Linked DNA regions of Saccharomyces cerevisiae S288C. The gene in region 2 interacts genetically with the main gene of each other region. Each region holds a gene or a part of one and is shown on either strand. Other genes may lie near its edges.

Region 1 (2,673 bases), on a different chromosome or scaffold from region 2:
TGAACACTGAGTTTGGAACTATCAGCCGTCAAATACGCATAAAATAACATCAAATACTCCAATAATGAATCAGTTAGGAGCTTTAGCCGTAAGTTCTAAATTGTAAACACATTTGCATCATTGAAAAACTATACTAACGCGTTAACCTTTTTTCTATATTTCTATAGCAAGTTTCACGTTTCACTCAAAACTTCTCCATGGAAAATATTAAGAGCGAGTTCCAATCCTTGCAATCTAAATTAGCAACCCTTCGCACCCCGCAAGAATTTTTCAATTTCAAGAAAATTTCCAAACCTCAAAACTTTGGGGAAGTTCAATCCAGAGTGGCGTATAACCTGAAGTACTTTTCCAGTAACTATGGTTTGATTATTGGTTGTTTGAGCATTTACACATTATTAACAAACTTGTTGCTACTCTTTGTTATTGTTCTAGTCGTAGCTGGTATTGTTGGTATAAACAAACTAAAGGGTGAGGAGCTCGTAACTCCATTTGGTTCTTTCAAGACCAACCAACTATACACCGGACTGGTTTGTGTTGCTGTGCCAATAGGTTTCTTAGCTTCGCCAATCTCAACTTTGCTATGGTTGATCGGTGCTTCTGCCGTCAGCGTTTTCGGACATGCATCATTGATGGAAAAACCCATCGAAACTGTATTTGATGAAGAAACTGTTTGAACACTCCTACAAGTGTTGGGAAAAGGAGTCATTCTTTTCTATTGTGTATTTTACTCTTCTTCAATATTTAGTTAATTCTTGTCTTTTATTCTCTTTCTCCGTCAACATTAGTATTTAATTGTATACAGACACCATTCATAATTGCAGTTAGCTTCTCTGTTCTTTCTCATTCCTAGGATTTACAATGCAGTCTTACCTTATTTGTTTATGTTTTTTTCGTTTATCAAGCGTGCAATCAATTACTGAAGATTCACGTGCCAAAACGTAAAAATAATAATAACATAACCCGAGAGAGGCAAGATTAGAATCAATTCATCTTTTCAAACAAATGGTTATATCGACTAAGCGAAGTGATTAGATGGTGTACGTCGCAGATATTCAACAGTGACGAATTATATGCGATTGTAAGATTGATTGGCAAATCGTATTCCATTACTACTATTAACAACTGATGGCATCTAGAAGGTAAAAAGGGTCAACGTAGATGAGGTAGAGTTTGAGCTTAGGGCCCTGCCGAGTTTTCATTAGAAGACCTCTACTACACTTCAAAATGAAATACCCCTGCATCACCAGATTCATCAACCTAAACGTACAAGACGTATGAAACACGTATGAAACAGTTGTTGCGAAAAAAACAAGATTAAGTATTTTCAAAGCCCCGGTTGCCTTGATGAACCTAAACGTATAAATAGTTGAGCAATCAGTTTAGCTCCGAAGATCTATGCTTCCACCCTTTAGTCAGATTTAGATCCTATATAGATTATATGGGATAAGTAACATTCCGTCAATCAAGCTGCTCTTCTGACAGGTATTAATATTGTTAAGACGGCTAGTATTGACTAACTTCATGACACAACCACTGTTGTATCTCAAAATGAGATATGTCAGTATGACAATACGTCACCCTGAACGTTCATAAAACACATATGAAACAACCTTATAACAAAACGAACAACATGAGACAAAACCCGACCTTCCCTAGCTGAACTACCCAAAGTATAAATGCCTGAACAATTAGTTTAGATCCGAGATTCCGCGCTTCCACCACTTAGTATGATTCATATTTTATATAATATATAAGATAAGTAACATTCCGTGAATTAATCTGATAAACCGTTTTGACAACTGGTTACTTCCCTAAGACTGTTTATATTAGGATTGTCAAGACACTCCGGTATTACTCGAGCCCGTAATACAACAACCACACGAAATAATCGGGCGTGTGGTCTAGTGGTATGATTCTCGCTTTGGGCGACTTCCTGCCTAAACAGGAAGACAAAGCATGCGAGAGGCCCTGGGTTCAATTCCCAGCTCGCCCCGTTATCTTTTTTCACCATCAGGGCGGAATTTTTTTGTTTAGCATCAATCAACCTAACCTCTCATGCTTCTCCAAGCTGAAAGAAGTAAACTCACTCTATGTACGTGTTGCAACATATATCTGCCAAAAGAATGAAAGTAGGTTCAGAACAAACAGATTGAAAGGAGACCAGTAAAACTATATGGGGGGGGTTGTTCTTCCCGCCTCCTTCTGGGATTATGAAGACGCGCTGATCTGCTATAGTTCAACGTCCTTTTCGCTTACTATTTCTGGTAAGAAATATAAGGAATTCTCGGATTAATTACTTTTCTCGAAAGGGGATTCCGAACACCTACCGGAAAAAAATAGCAGCCCTTAAGGGGAGAGTACGGCTCTTGGCATGACGGGAGGCAGGACAGCACTAAAGGCAGACTAGTCACTGAGCGCTCCAAGTTGGGTATGATAGTATCTTCAAGTTTTGGTCGAGTAGCTATTCCTCTTCTTCAAAGCCACTTACGCTTCGCCCAATAATGTCATGATTTACAAATAAACCTTCCTCTCCGAACCCTTAAAAGTAGGCAAATTGAGAAAATTTTTTGCTCGTCTTTTTTTCTCTCGTTTCGATTACCTTATTGGGAACTTCTCGAAGAACTCGGCGAAGAGGTCCAGAGGAAGATTACTGACTATCATCAAGCCTTGTTT
Region 2 (3,223 bases):
GCGTTCTTGAGAGGTAAAATGGTAGAAAGATCAGGTACCAAACAAAATATTGCGATGTGCACACTTTATTATATGTCACAAATGCGAACGTCTGCACAAATAAAACCCTCAATAGGTTATCGAATGTGGGATTCCACCATTCAAGACATCCAGTTACTAAAACAAGCAGCAATTGAGGCACAAATGCGTACCTTGAGAGATTGGACTCACCATTTTCCTTATTTGCAGAATCTAAATACAATAGCATGTTCCACACTGAAAAATTGTGTCTGTGATCCGTTCTGTATAAGTGGTACAAGTATGCCTGATCCAGAAACTCGTATCCGTATATCTTGTACATTGCCCAACCACATCCAAGCAAAGTTGTTAGAGTACTCAAACCGATATTGAGTAGCGATGTAAGTTGTGTTCGTGGACCCTGGTTTCTTTTATTGTAGTATATAAAAATTGCTATTGGGATACAATATATGATTGGATATATTTTGAAATGGATAGAAAGACCATATAAGATTCCAGCTAGGGTGTATCTACTCTTTTGTAGAAAAAAAAGCGTGAACATGATCAAACAGCAAAGCACGCTTTCAGCGTTTCCCCTTGTACTGATGGTGATAACCATCGGATTCAATAGCCAAATGCTTTCCAATATTAAAGCTCTTTTTCTGGAGATGGCCTGGTTCAAAAGCTTCATTATAATGAGCCCAGTAACCAAATCGAAAATAACAAATATGACCTTCCCCAAATGAAACCATCCAAAATAATGATTAGGCACTAGCAGCCAACTTAGTAGCGGTGTGTAACGATATGTATCCCTTGCATAAGGTGATTTGCCTTCGTATACATATTTAGCAGCATCATGAAACACAAAATAGTCGATATCAGTGTACCTCACTTTGAAATTAGCGTCCTGGTAAATGCCAAAAAGAAAAAATCCGACTCTTACCAAGAATGACAGTACAGTCAAGCCCCATTCTTCGCCAGTCATCTTTCAACTTTATCACCTTTTACCTTGCTTGTCAGTTGTTGACTTTTTTATGTATATATATTGTGTTTTTTTTTGTCAAGTTCTTACCAACTATTAAAGTTTCTTTTATTATTATCGGAGCCTGTAAAAGAGCTCCACATGTTTCGGTTTACCTCTTGAAAATTGATTGCGAACATAACGAGTCAAGCATGGCAGCAGGTGGTGAACTTAGTTATGAAGAGTTGCTGGATCACATTCTGAATAACAAGCCTATACCTAATATTGTGGAGGTGCCCAATGTTACGCTGGATGAGGGTTTAGCTAGTACTCCTTCATTGAGGCCAAGACCTAGGCCTTGGGAAGGTCAGCTGCAGCATCAATCTCATCAAGGATCATTAGACAAACCCAATATATCTCTGGACATTGATCAAGAAAGCCTAGAAGGCATGACCTCATTAACAAGGCTGTCTGAATGTTACGATATACAGTCTAAGTTACAGATTAATGACAGTGACAACGATAATGATGACAATAACAATGATAACAATAAAGGCGATGGCAATGATGACGACAATAATACAGTAACAGCAAATCCAACAGCTAGGTAAATTATTCACCCAACAGGTATGTAAAAAAATGCATTTATATATTTATATATAGTACTATTATCTTCCCTTTTCTACTTAAATTTTATATCGCTCATTCATACTTAATCATAGACCTGCCCTTTTTGCGTTTAAAAGAATACAAAGGCACATGCATCTCCTTCTTTTGTCTGCATAATGTTTCTAACAAAGTTAGTGCGATATCTGTCGTTTTATCCTTTCCTTTTTATTAATTTCACAGTCTGATCTTTTATTGTGATTAGATAAGCGGCGTTGGTTTTAATTTCACGCTAGTTAAGTCAAAGCAGAATAGAGAATAGCTCTACAAGAAAAAGGACAAATAAGGTAACTGTGATAGCATATAAAGGCGTATGAGTGAAACACGAGAATCTAATGAAAGTACAGTTTCGTCTTTACAAACCAAACTTTTGCTCAATGACGGAATATCCGAAAACAACAAGAAAAATGTTATACTGCTGAATCAAATAGTGCCGTTTATTCTGAATACTTCACATTATATGACGGATCTAATGTATGTCTTGTATTATCTGGCTCAAAAGCAGGAAGACGAAGTATTAAACCATTCTGGCACATTTATTTCACACAAAAAAGAACTCCTTGCACTAAAGAGTGATATTTGTGAACTAATTTACGATTTAAGGACAGGATTCCGCTTATTATTGGATAGTTGTGAGTTAGATCACTTTGAAACTCCTGGAAAATGCCGGCATTTGATCGAGAAGGTTCTAGTCACCTCCATTTATGGAGTGAACAGGTATATTTTCCAGGAATTAAACAGATTAAATGTCGATTTTAAAGATGAATTTATATTACAAATGCAAAATTGTTTATCAGGATTCGTTAATCTCTACAAATTTTTGAACAAGATCCCTATGAGTAAACAACAGTCACAGATGAACGATTTACAGATGAAGATCTTAGTTAATGTGTTACAGAATGAATTGTTACCCATTTGGAAGTTTCAGTTAGATCTTTTGAATTGTAAACTATTTAACGAGCTCTCTAAGGATAAGGGCCTGATTAATATATATAGAAAAGCTACGAACGATAGTGTTATTGATGTTAGCAAGGGTGAACCATTCATCAGATATGTTAATTGGCTAAAGGACCAAATTATTGGTGAAATGACGGTTTAATGCAAGTAATGTAATATAATACAAGAGTATAAAAATAAGGTTCTACACAAACATCTATAAATGTATAGATTATACTAGTTTGGTTGGCTTCTTAGCGTTTCTCTCATCTACGTAAGATGAACGCCATGTGTACACTTTTCACATTTTAAATACATCTCGCGTGGAGGAGGGATAATAGAAACTATTTAGAGAAAAAAACGAGGCAGATTAAACGAAGTTACTCCAGGATTGGTCAAGCAATACTCAAACAAGATCAACGTCACGTCATAGTCAACTTCAATGTCTGAGATATTACAAGATGTACAAAGGAAACTGGTTTTTCCAATAGATTTTCCCAGCCAACGGAAAACAGAAAAATTTCAACAGCTATCGCTCATGATCGGAGCTTTGGTAGCGTGTATATTGGGATTTGCACAACAGTCCCTGAAAGTTTTACTGACTGCGTATGGCATTAGTTGTGTGATTACTTTAATATGTGTTTTGCCAGCTTACCCATGGTA
Region 3 (5,032 bases), on a different chromosome or scaffold from region 2:
AGAAAGTGGTTGTCAATGGTAACTTGATACCATACGAAGGGGACCTGATCATTACAAGATCAATGGCTAAGAAAATGCCAGACAGGTATGTACAAGTTCCACTTTATACCAAGATCATTAAATTGTTTGTTTCTGAGTTAAGCTTCCAAAGTAAACAACCGAATCCAGAACAATTGATCACAAGCGATATTAAGCAAGAAGTGGTAAATGCTAATAAAGATGACGACAATGATGATTGGGAAGATGTAGATGATGTACTCGATTACGATAAGTTGAAAGAATATATTGATGATGATGTCGATGAAGAAGCAGACGACGATTCAGACGATATAACGGGACTCATGGACGTGAAGGAATCTGTTGTTCAGCTACTGGTAAGATTCTTTAAAGAGGTTGCAAGCAAAGATGTGAGTGGCTTCCATTGTATTTACGAGACTCTATCCGACAGTGAACGTAAAGTTCTTTCAGAAGCCCTTTTGTAGCTTATATACATAAGCCGTGGAGATATCAGATGTAAAGTAGTTAGAGTAGAAAAAATGCGGCAAAATAAGCGCCGTCTATATAAAAGAAAGAAAGTGTTAAATAAACTGACCACAGAAGGTGGCAAAAATAATACGAGATTTAGAAGTCAGATAATGGACCCGATTGGAATAAACAAAGTCTTGGACCATTTAGCACCCTCAGAGCTTATCAAACCTGTTAAGAGTTGCCATAATAAACCTTCAGTGTTGGTGTTGGATGACAGGATTGTGGATGCGGCAACCAAAGATCTCTACGTGAATGGGTTCCAAGAAGAGATTCAGTATCAGAATCCTACACCGGAGAACTTGCAACATATGTTCCACCAAGGTATTGAAATATTGGATTCGGCAAGGATGATCAACGTGACACATTTAGCGCTTTGGAAGCCTTCTTCTTTTAAGTTGGGGAATCCTGTGGACTTTGCTCTAGATGATAACTACGATACGTTTTGGCAGAGCGATGGAGGGCAACCACACCAATTGGACATTATGTTTAGTAAGAGAATGGACATCTGTGTCATGGCAATATTCTTTTCGATGATTGCGGACGAGTCCTATGCTCCAAGCTTAGTGAAAGTTTACGCGGGGCATAGTCCTTCTGATGCGAGGTTTTATAAGATGCTTGAAGTGAGAAATGTGAATGGCTGGGTGGCACTAAGGTTTCTAGATAATAGGGAGGACGACCAGCTGCTGAAATGTCAATTCATCAGGCTTTTGTTTCCAGTCAACCATGAAAACGGAAAAGATACACATCTGAGAGGCATAAGGCTATATGTTCCATCTAATGAGCCACATCAAGATACCCATGAGTGGGCACAGACCCTCCCAGAAACTAACAATGTCTTCCAGGATGCTATATTACGTTAATAATATGCCGTTTATGATATTTTCTTCCTTGCTATTACCCTGCCTTTTGCTTTTTTTTTTTCACTTCAATTGCAGGGATTATGGAATAAAAAAAAAGTTGAAAGTAGTATAAACACAAGATCAAAAAGTGGCAAAGAGGACCCGCTCTGTTTATTGCTACTCAATTGTAGAAGAGAAAATAGTAGGATGTCCGATTTGGAAACCGTAGCTAAATTTCTGGCCGAATCAGTTATTGCTTCTACCGCTAAAACTTCGGAAAGAAATTTGAGGCAGTTGGAGACGCAAGATGGATTCGGTTTAACTTTATTGCACGTTATTGCTTCCACAAACCTGCCGTTATCCACCAGATTAGCAGGTGCTTTGTTCTTCAAAAATTTCATCAAGCGCAAGTGGGTAGATGAAAATGGTAATCATTTGCTGCCGGCTAACAACGTAGAACTGATCAAAAAGGAAATCGTTCCTTTAATGATCAGTCTACCAAATAATTTGCAGGTCCAAATAGGAGAGGCAATTTCCAGTATTGCTGACTCTGATTTTCCTGATAGGTGGCCTACACTTTTGAGTGATTTAGCTTCCAGATTGAGTAATGATGATATGGTGACGAATAAAGGTGTCCTTACAGTGGCACATTCTATTTTTAAAAGATGGAGACCTTTATTTAGATCAGATGAACTTTTTTTGGAGATTAAATTGGTTCTTGACGTGTTTACTGCTCCATTTTTGAACTTATTGAAAACGGTCGATGAACAGATAACAGCGAATGAAAATAACAAGGCATCGCTAAATATTTTATTTGATGTATTGCTAGTATTAATTAAACTATACTACGATTTTAATTGTCAAGATATACCAGAGTTTTTTGAGGATAACATTCAAGTGGGTATGGGTATCTTCCATAAGTATTTGTCATATTCTAATCCTTTATTGGAAGACCCTGACGAAACTGAACATGCGTCTGTCCTAATAAAAGTAAAGTCCTCTATCCAGGAGCTGGTTCAATTGTACACAACAAGATATGAAGATGTCTTTGGACCTATGATCAATGAATTCATACAAATAACTTGGAATCTTCTGACCTCAATTTCAAACCAACCTAAATACGACATCTTAGTATCCAAGTCCTTGTCATTTTTGACTGCAGTAACACGTATTCCAAAATACTTTGAAATATTCAACAACGAATCTGCCATGAATAATATCACAGAACAAATCATTCTGCCAAATGTTACACTACGTGAGGAAGATGTTGAACTTTTTGAAGACGATCCAATTGAATATATCCGTAGAGATCTGGAAGGTTCAGATACCGACACTAGAAGAAGGGCATGTACTGATTTCTTGAAGGAATTGAAGGAAAAAAATGAAGTGTTAGTCACAAATATTTTTTTGGCGCATATGAAAGGGTTCGTTGACCAGTACATGAGTGATCCATCCAAAAATTGGAAATTTAAAGATCTTTATATTTATCTATTCACTGCATTGGCCATTAATGGGAATATTACCAATGCCGGTGTTTCATCCACAAACAACTTACTAAATGTTGTAGATTTTTTCACCAAGGAAATTGCCCCGGACCTTACTTCCAACAATATTCCTCATATTATTTTGAGAGTGGATGCCATAAAATATATCTACACTTTCAGAAATCAGTTGACCAAAGCTCAGTTGATTGAACTAATGCCCATTTTGGCCACCTTCTTACAAACAGATGAATATGTTGTCTACACGTATGCTGCCATTACTATTGAAAAAATTTTGACTATTAGAGAATCAAATACGTCTCCTGCTTTTATTTTTCATAAGGAAGATATTTCGAATAGTACAGAAATTCTTTTGAAAAATCTTATTGCATTAATCTTGAAGCATGGCAGCTCCCCTGAAAAACTAGCTGAAAACGAATTTTTAATGAGATCAATCTTTAGAGTTTTGCAGACGTCAGAAGATTCCATTCAACCTTTATTTCCTCAGTTGTTGGCACAATTTATTGAAATTGTAACGATAATGGCAAAGAACCCATCAAATCCAAGATTTACTCATTACACTTTTGAATCTATTGGTGCCATCTTGAATTACACTCAAAGACAAAACTTACCACTACTTGTAGATTCTATGATGCCAACATTTTTAACGGTTTTCTCCGAGGATATTCAAGAATTCATTCCATATGTGTTCCAAATCATCGCATTTGTTGTTGAGCAGTCTGCAACAATTCCAGAAAGTATCAAGCCGTTGGCACAACCTTTATTAGCACCAAATGTATGGGAATTGAAAGGTAATATTCCTGCCGTGACAAGGCTACTAAAGAGTTTTATAAAGACAGATTCATCGATCTTCCCCGATCTAGTCCCTGTTTTAGGTATTTTTCAAAGATTGATCGCATCAAAGGCTTATGAAGTTCATGGGTTTGACTTATTAGAGCACATCATGCTTCTAATCGACATGAACCGCTTGAGACCATATATTAAACAAATCGCAGTTTTATTATTACAAAGATTACAGAACTCTAAAACAGAAAGGTATGTTAAAAAATTAACGGTATTTTTTGGTTTGATATCTAATAAATTAGGCTCTGATTTTTTGATCCACTTTATTGACGAAGTGCAAGATGGGCTTTTTCAACAAATATGGGGTAATTTTATTATTACCACATTACCTACTATTGGTAACCTGCTAGATCGTAAAATTGCATTAATTGGTGTTTTGAACATGGTTATAAACGGCCAATTTTTCCAAAGCAAATATCCAACTTTGATTTCAAGCACAATGAATTCCATTATAGAGACAGCATCATCACAAAGTATTGCAAACTTGAAAAACGATTATGTTGATTTAGATAACTTGGAGGAAATCTCCACGTTTGGTTCTCATTTCAGTAAGTTGGTTAGTATTAGCGAAAAACCATTCGATCCTTTGCCTGAAATCGATGTCAATAATGGTGTGAGATTATATGTTGCTGAAGCACTAAACAAATATAATGCTATCTCTGGGAATACATTTTTAAATACCATTTTGCCTCAATTGACCCAAGAAAATCAAGTAAAATTAAATCAATTATTAGTTGGTAATTAACATGGTGTAGAGAATTATATATAGATGAAAATGGAGCTCTTTTGAATAGCTGTTTATATGTAGATAGAGTAAGCAAAAATGAAAAAAGAAAAGCACGTAAATACGATCGCAATATGGTTTCTTTTCCAGCGGAGTACATAGGTCTGTTAGAAATGAAACGAAACGAAACGAAACGAGATTGGTAAAAGTACATATACATATTGATTCAGATTAAATAGGCCATATGGATACCATGTGGTATAAGAGGGCACTTTTAGTTCTTTTAGGAATGATATTAACATTGGAATATTACAAAATTATGTTTTTTTGTCTGCTGCAGCTGCGGTGGAAGTAGCATGCGGCTGTTCTTGTATTATTTTAGTAGTGATTTTTTTATCCTCATGACTATCGTCAGGATCATCGCTAGCCCCACTTTTCTTCGATTTCATGGCTTTGATCTCAGCGGCTGTCAAGAACCTCCCACCTTCACCACGAGGTCTTCGCATCGCATGTTTATGTCGAGATTCGTGTAAGTATGGCTTTCGTTCTCTTGATATTCGTAGCTTTTCCTCTAGTTTAGCTCTTGCATATCGCCT
Region 4 (2,715 bases), on a different chromosome or scaffold from region 2:
TCTTGTGTAATGGATACACAAAGAATTCGAACCAGTAGCGACCACGGGGATATATGCGTCCTTATCGCAACCACCGGATATAAACTTGTAATGAAGAAAGGAATCTAAAGTTCTCTCATTCCTAAATCTTTTAGCAAAGGCTTGATTGAACGATCTTCCTGATATTTGGCCAGCTCTCCTCATAATTCTCAACTCTTGAGGGGACTTGATCTTACGGAACTCTGCAATTCTTTTACTGATGGGTTTGATGGTCTTATTCGCAATGGAATTCAATGATCGATTGCTATTCCCACTGCCATCTAACAGGCTCTTGATGTGTTTAAAATTGGACGAACTGGGATTAGAAGTTGATAGCATATCAAAATAGATGAAATCATTCCTGTTAATTATTTTGGGCAAATATTTAGACAAATCGTTAATGGAAGCAGATTCATCGGCATTGAAAATTTCTTGAACACCATAAACCCCAGACCTAAATCCTTCCCACTTTTCAGCAAACGCATCCTTTGGCGGAACCAGCATGTGGAAAATTGTATCACTTAAACTATCCGTTGGCTTTTCTAAAATCATGACCGAATTAGGTTCATTCCAACCACTAAGATAAAACAGGTCATTTTCCTGTTGGAACGGATAAAATACTGCTCCAGATGCAAATTGGATATCGTTACCAGCTAAAATCACACAACTTTTGGGAGGCAATGTTTCCGCCAACCTAATTCTTCTTTCATAGTATTCCAAGGCTGAAATGCCTGGTGTCAACTCGCCCGACTTTATAAGGAACGGCCTTGTCTCATGCAGTGGTTGGCCTGCCTCAATGGGGATTCTGACTCTATTAGTAAAAGTATTACTTTTATGCTGTTCCAATGGCGATACCAACTTCGAGAAGTATCTTTGGCAAGATTGCATAGAAAACCGTACTGGGTTTATCCTATGTAACATATCAACAGAAAATGACCACTTTTCCTATTAGCTTTTTCTATTATATTCTTTAGAATTGGTGGAGTTTCTTGCGCAAACGATCCACTTTTGCAGTGCAGTAAGTGATCCCTATACCAGGTGAGTTGATATATATTTACTGTATCTTGTACTATTTTATGAACAAGAAAGGCTATTACTCACAACAGTTTTGGTTTCAGTCAAAGTTTATGTGTGAGTGTGAGTGTGAATGTGTGCGTGTTGCATAATTGCATTTGGCCTTTCCGAGAAATAAGTCATTCTTTATTTTTCTCTCTTTACGGTTTAATGGTGCGGCTTTCGTATCTGCGTCTCATCCTTCCCCCTTGCCGCTTGTCAGAACTCTCTAGCTTGGCGATTCTCTATCAACCTGTTATTCCAATTCTTATATCTACCATTACCTTCCAGCATTTTTTCAAATGTGTTCACACGCCCTGTAACGTTTATATATAAATATTTTAATATTTAACTTAGCTTATGCATATATAGTTAAAAGGGATAATAACAATAAGAATAAAAAACACAAACTGCTGAGATAAGAAAAGGAAGCGAATAGTTAATAATGCCTGATTCATCACATTCAATAAGCTCAAAAGATGTTGCATCTGCCATCTCTCTCTATGATCAGTCCATTTACACTAATAACAGGTCTACTAACCTGGACTTAGATCAGAGATCAATGAGCCCTTCCAATATTGCCTCTGGTGAAGATAGGATAACGAGAACGAACTCAGGTTGCTCCATCACATCAGGTGCCTCCATGATTGCCACGAAGGATGGTATTCAGGGGATTAATGTCAAAAGAGATGGGATTCCGAAATATTCACTTAATTTATTGAATTCCATGGTTCGAAAACAATATGATCACAATAATGGAACAAAGTCTCCTACCCCGAAGACTAGCAATATGGTAGACCCTAAGAACAAAAAGAAGAACAAAAAAAAGAAGAATGACAAGGATGACAAATACAAGGTATCGCATGATCAAACCGAAAAGTTTTACAAACTCAACACCACTTCCAACTCCAATCTCACCTCTGATTCTACTACTTCGTTATCGGACCAGTTTTATTTCCAGAAAAGTAACGCTGATTCTGCTCCATTAGACAATGCAAATTACCCACTCTCCGACCATTCCCCCTCCCTAAACTCTATGGATAATACTACAAAGCATAGCAGCAATGTGCACACTTGAATCACGTGAACCACAGTAACCTAATTGCTCAAATTTTGAGAGTTAAAGGAAAGAATAAAATATATAAATGATACGTTTATACCCGCTAAAAAAAAAAAATATAAAACAAAAAAAGGATCTCATAAGACGATTTGTTGGGATATGTCCACATCTTTCGGCTATATACTACATTTAGCTGTTTCCCGTTTCTTTGTATTATTCCCTTCTTATGTATAACTTTTACTAGTAATAATTATAATAAATATTCGTTTTGAAACATGGTAATTTCAAATGTTCAATGTATTTTCGGGCCGATTGCTGACCAGCGACACTTTAAGCCGAACTGTATTTAGTAGACTCCCTTTTCTCATCAGCGAAGAAGAAGTAGCAAAAGCTGTTTAGCAAGCAAGACAGCAATACGAAGACCAAGCATGATTAGGTACACTGTTGCTGGCCATTCCAGAAGGTGTGTAGTAGGAGCTTCGAAAAGAGTGGGTGCAATTAAATGTATCACCGTCGCCGCCACCAAGAGATTTATCTCCAATAAGCCAAACGAAGTTTTTACCAAGCTAACGAATGACAATGAT

The links.
Region 1: mutations in CAL4 (region 2) and YNL042W-B together harm fitness more than expected from each alone (negative genetic interaction), as found in Saccharomyces cerevisiae (one large-scale study listed by BioGRID).
Region 3: mutations in CAL4 (region 2) and CSE1 together harm fitness more than expected from each alone (negative genetic interaction), as found in Saccharomyces cerevisiae (one large-scale study listed by BioGRID).
Region 4: mutations in CAL4 (region 2) and YER079W together harm fitness more than expected from each alone (negative genetic interaction), as found in Saccharomyces cerevisiae (one large-scale study listed by BioGRID).

What each region holds. Positions count from the first base shown.
Region 1 is NC_001146.8:545,204-547,876, forward strand, and holds YNL042W-B (uncharacterized protein), read left to right. Parts: upstream 1-1,909; coding exon 1,910-2,167; downstream 2,168-2,673. Other genes in the region: YIP3 (Yip3p), read left to right, coding at 65-88, 168-674.
Region 2 is NC_001142.9:458,141-461,363, reverse strand, and holds CAL4 (Cal4p), read left to right. Parts: upstream 1-1,937; coding exon 1,938-2,723; downstream 2,724-3,223. Other genes in the region: GPI14 (glycosylphosphatidylinositol-alpha 1,4 mannosyltransferase I), read right to left, coding at 1-982; YJR012C (uncharacterized protein), read left to right, coding at 1,171-1,569; signal peptidase complex subunit SPC1, read left to right, coding at 3,003-3,223.
Region 3 is NC_001139.9:47,978-53,009, forward strand, and holds CSE1 (importin-alpha export receptor), read left to right. Parts: upstream 1-1,574; coding exon 1,575-4,457; downstream 4,458-5,032. Other genes in the region: karyopherin KAP114, read left to right, coding at 1-482; anaphase promoting complex subunit DOC1, read left to right, coding at 636-1,388; transcription activator HAP2, read right to left, coding at 4,754-5,032. UniProt on the Saccharomyces cerevisiae protein: Export receptor for importin alpha (SRP1). Mediates importin-alpha re-export from the nucleus to the cytoplasm after import substrates have been released into the nucleoplasm.
Region 4 is NC_001137.3:317,404-320,118, forward strand, and holds YER079W (uncharacterized protein), read left to right. Parts: upstream 1-1,516; coding exon 1,517-2,149; downstream 2,150-2,715. Other genes in the region: ICP55 (aminopeptidase), read right to left, coding at 1-939; YER078W-A (uncharacterized protein), read left to right, coding at 1,243-1,407; AIM9 (Aim9p), read left to right, coding at 2,560-2,715.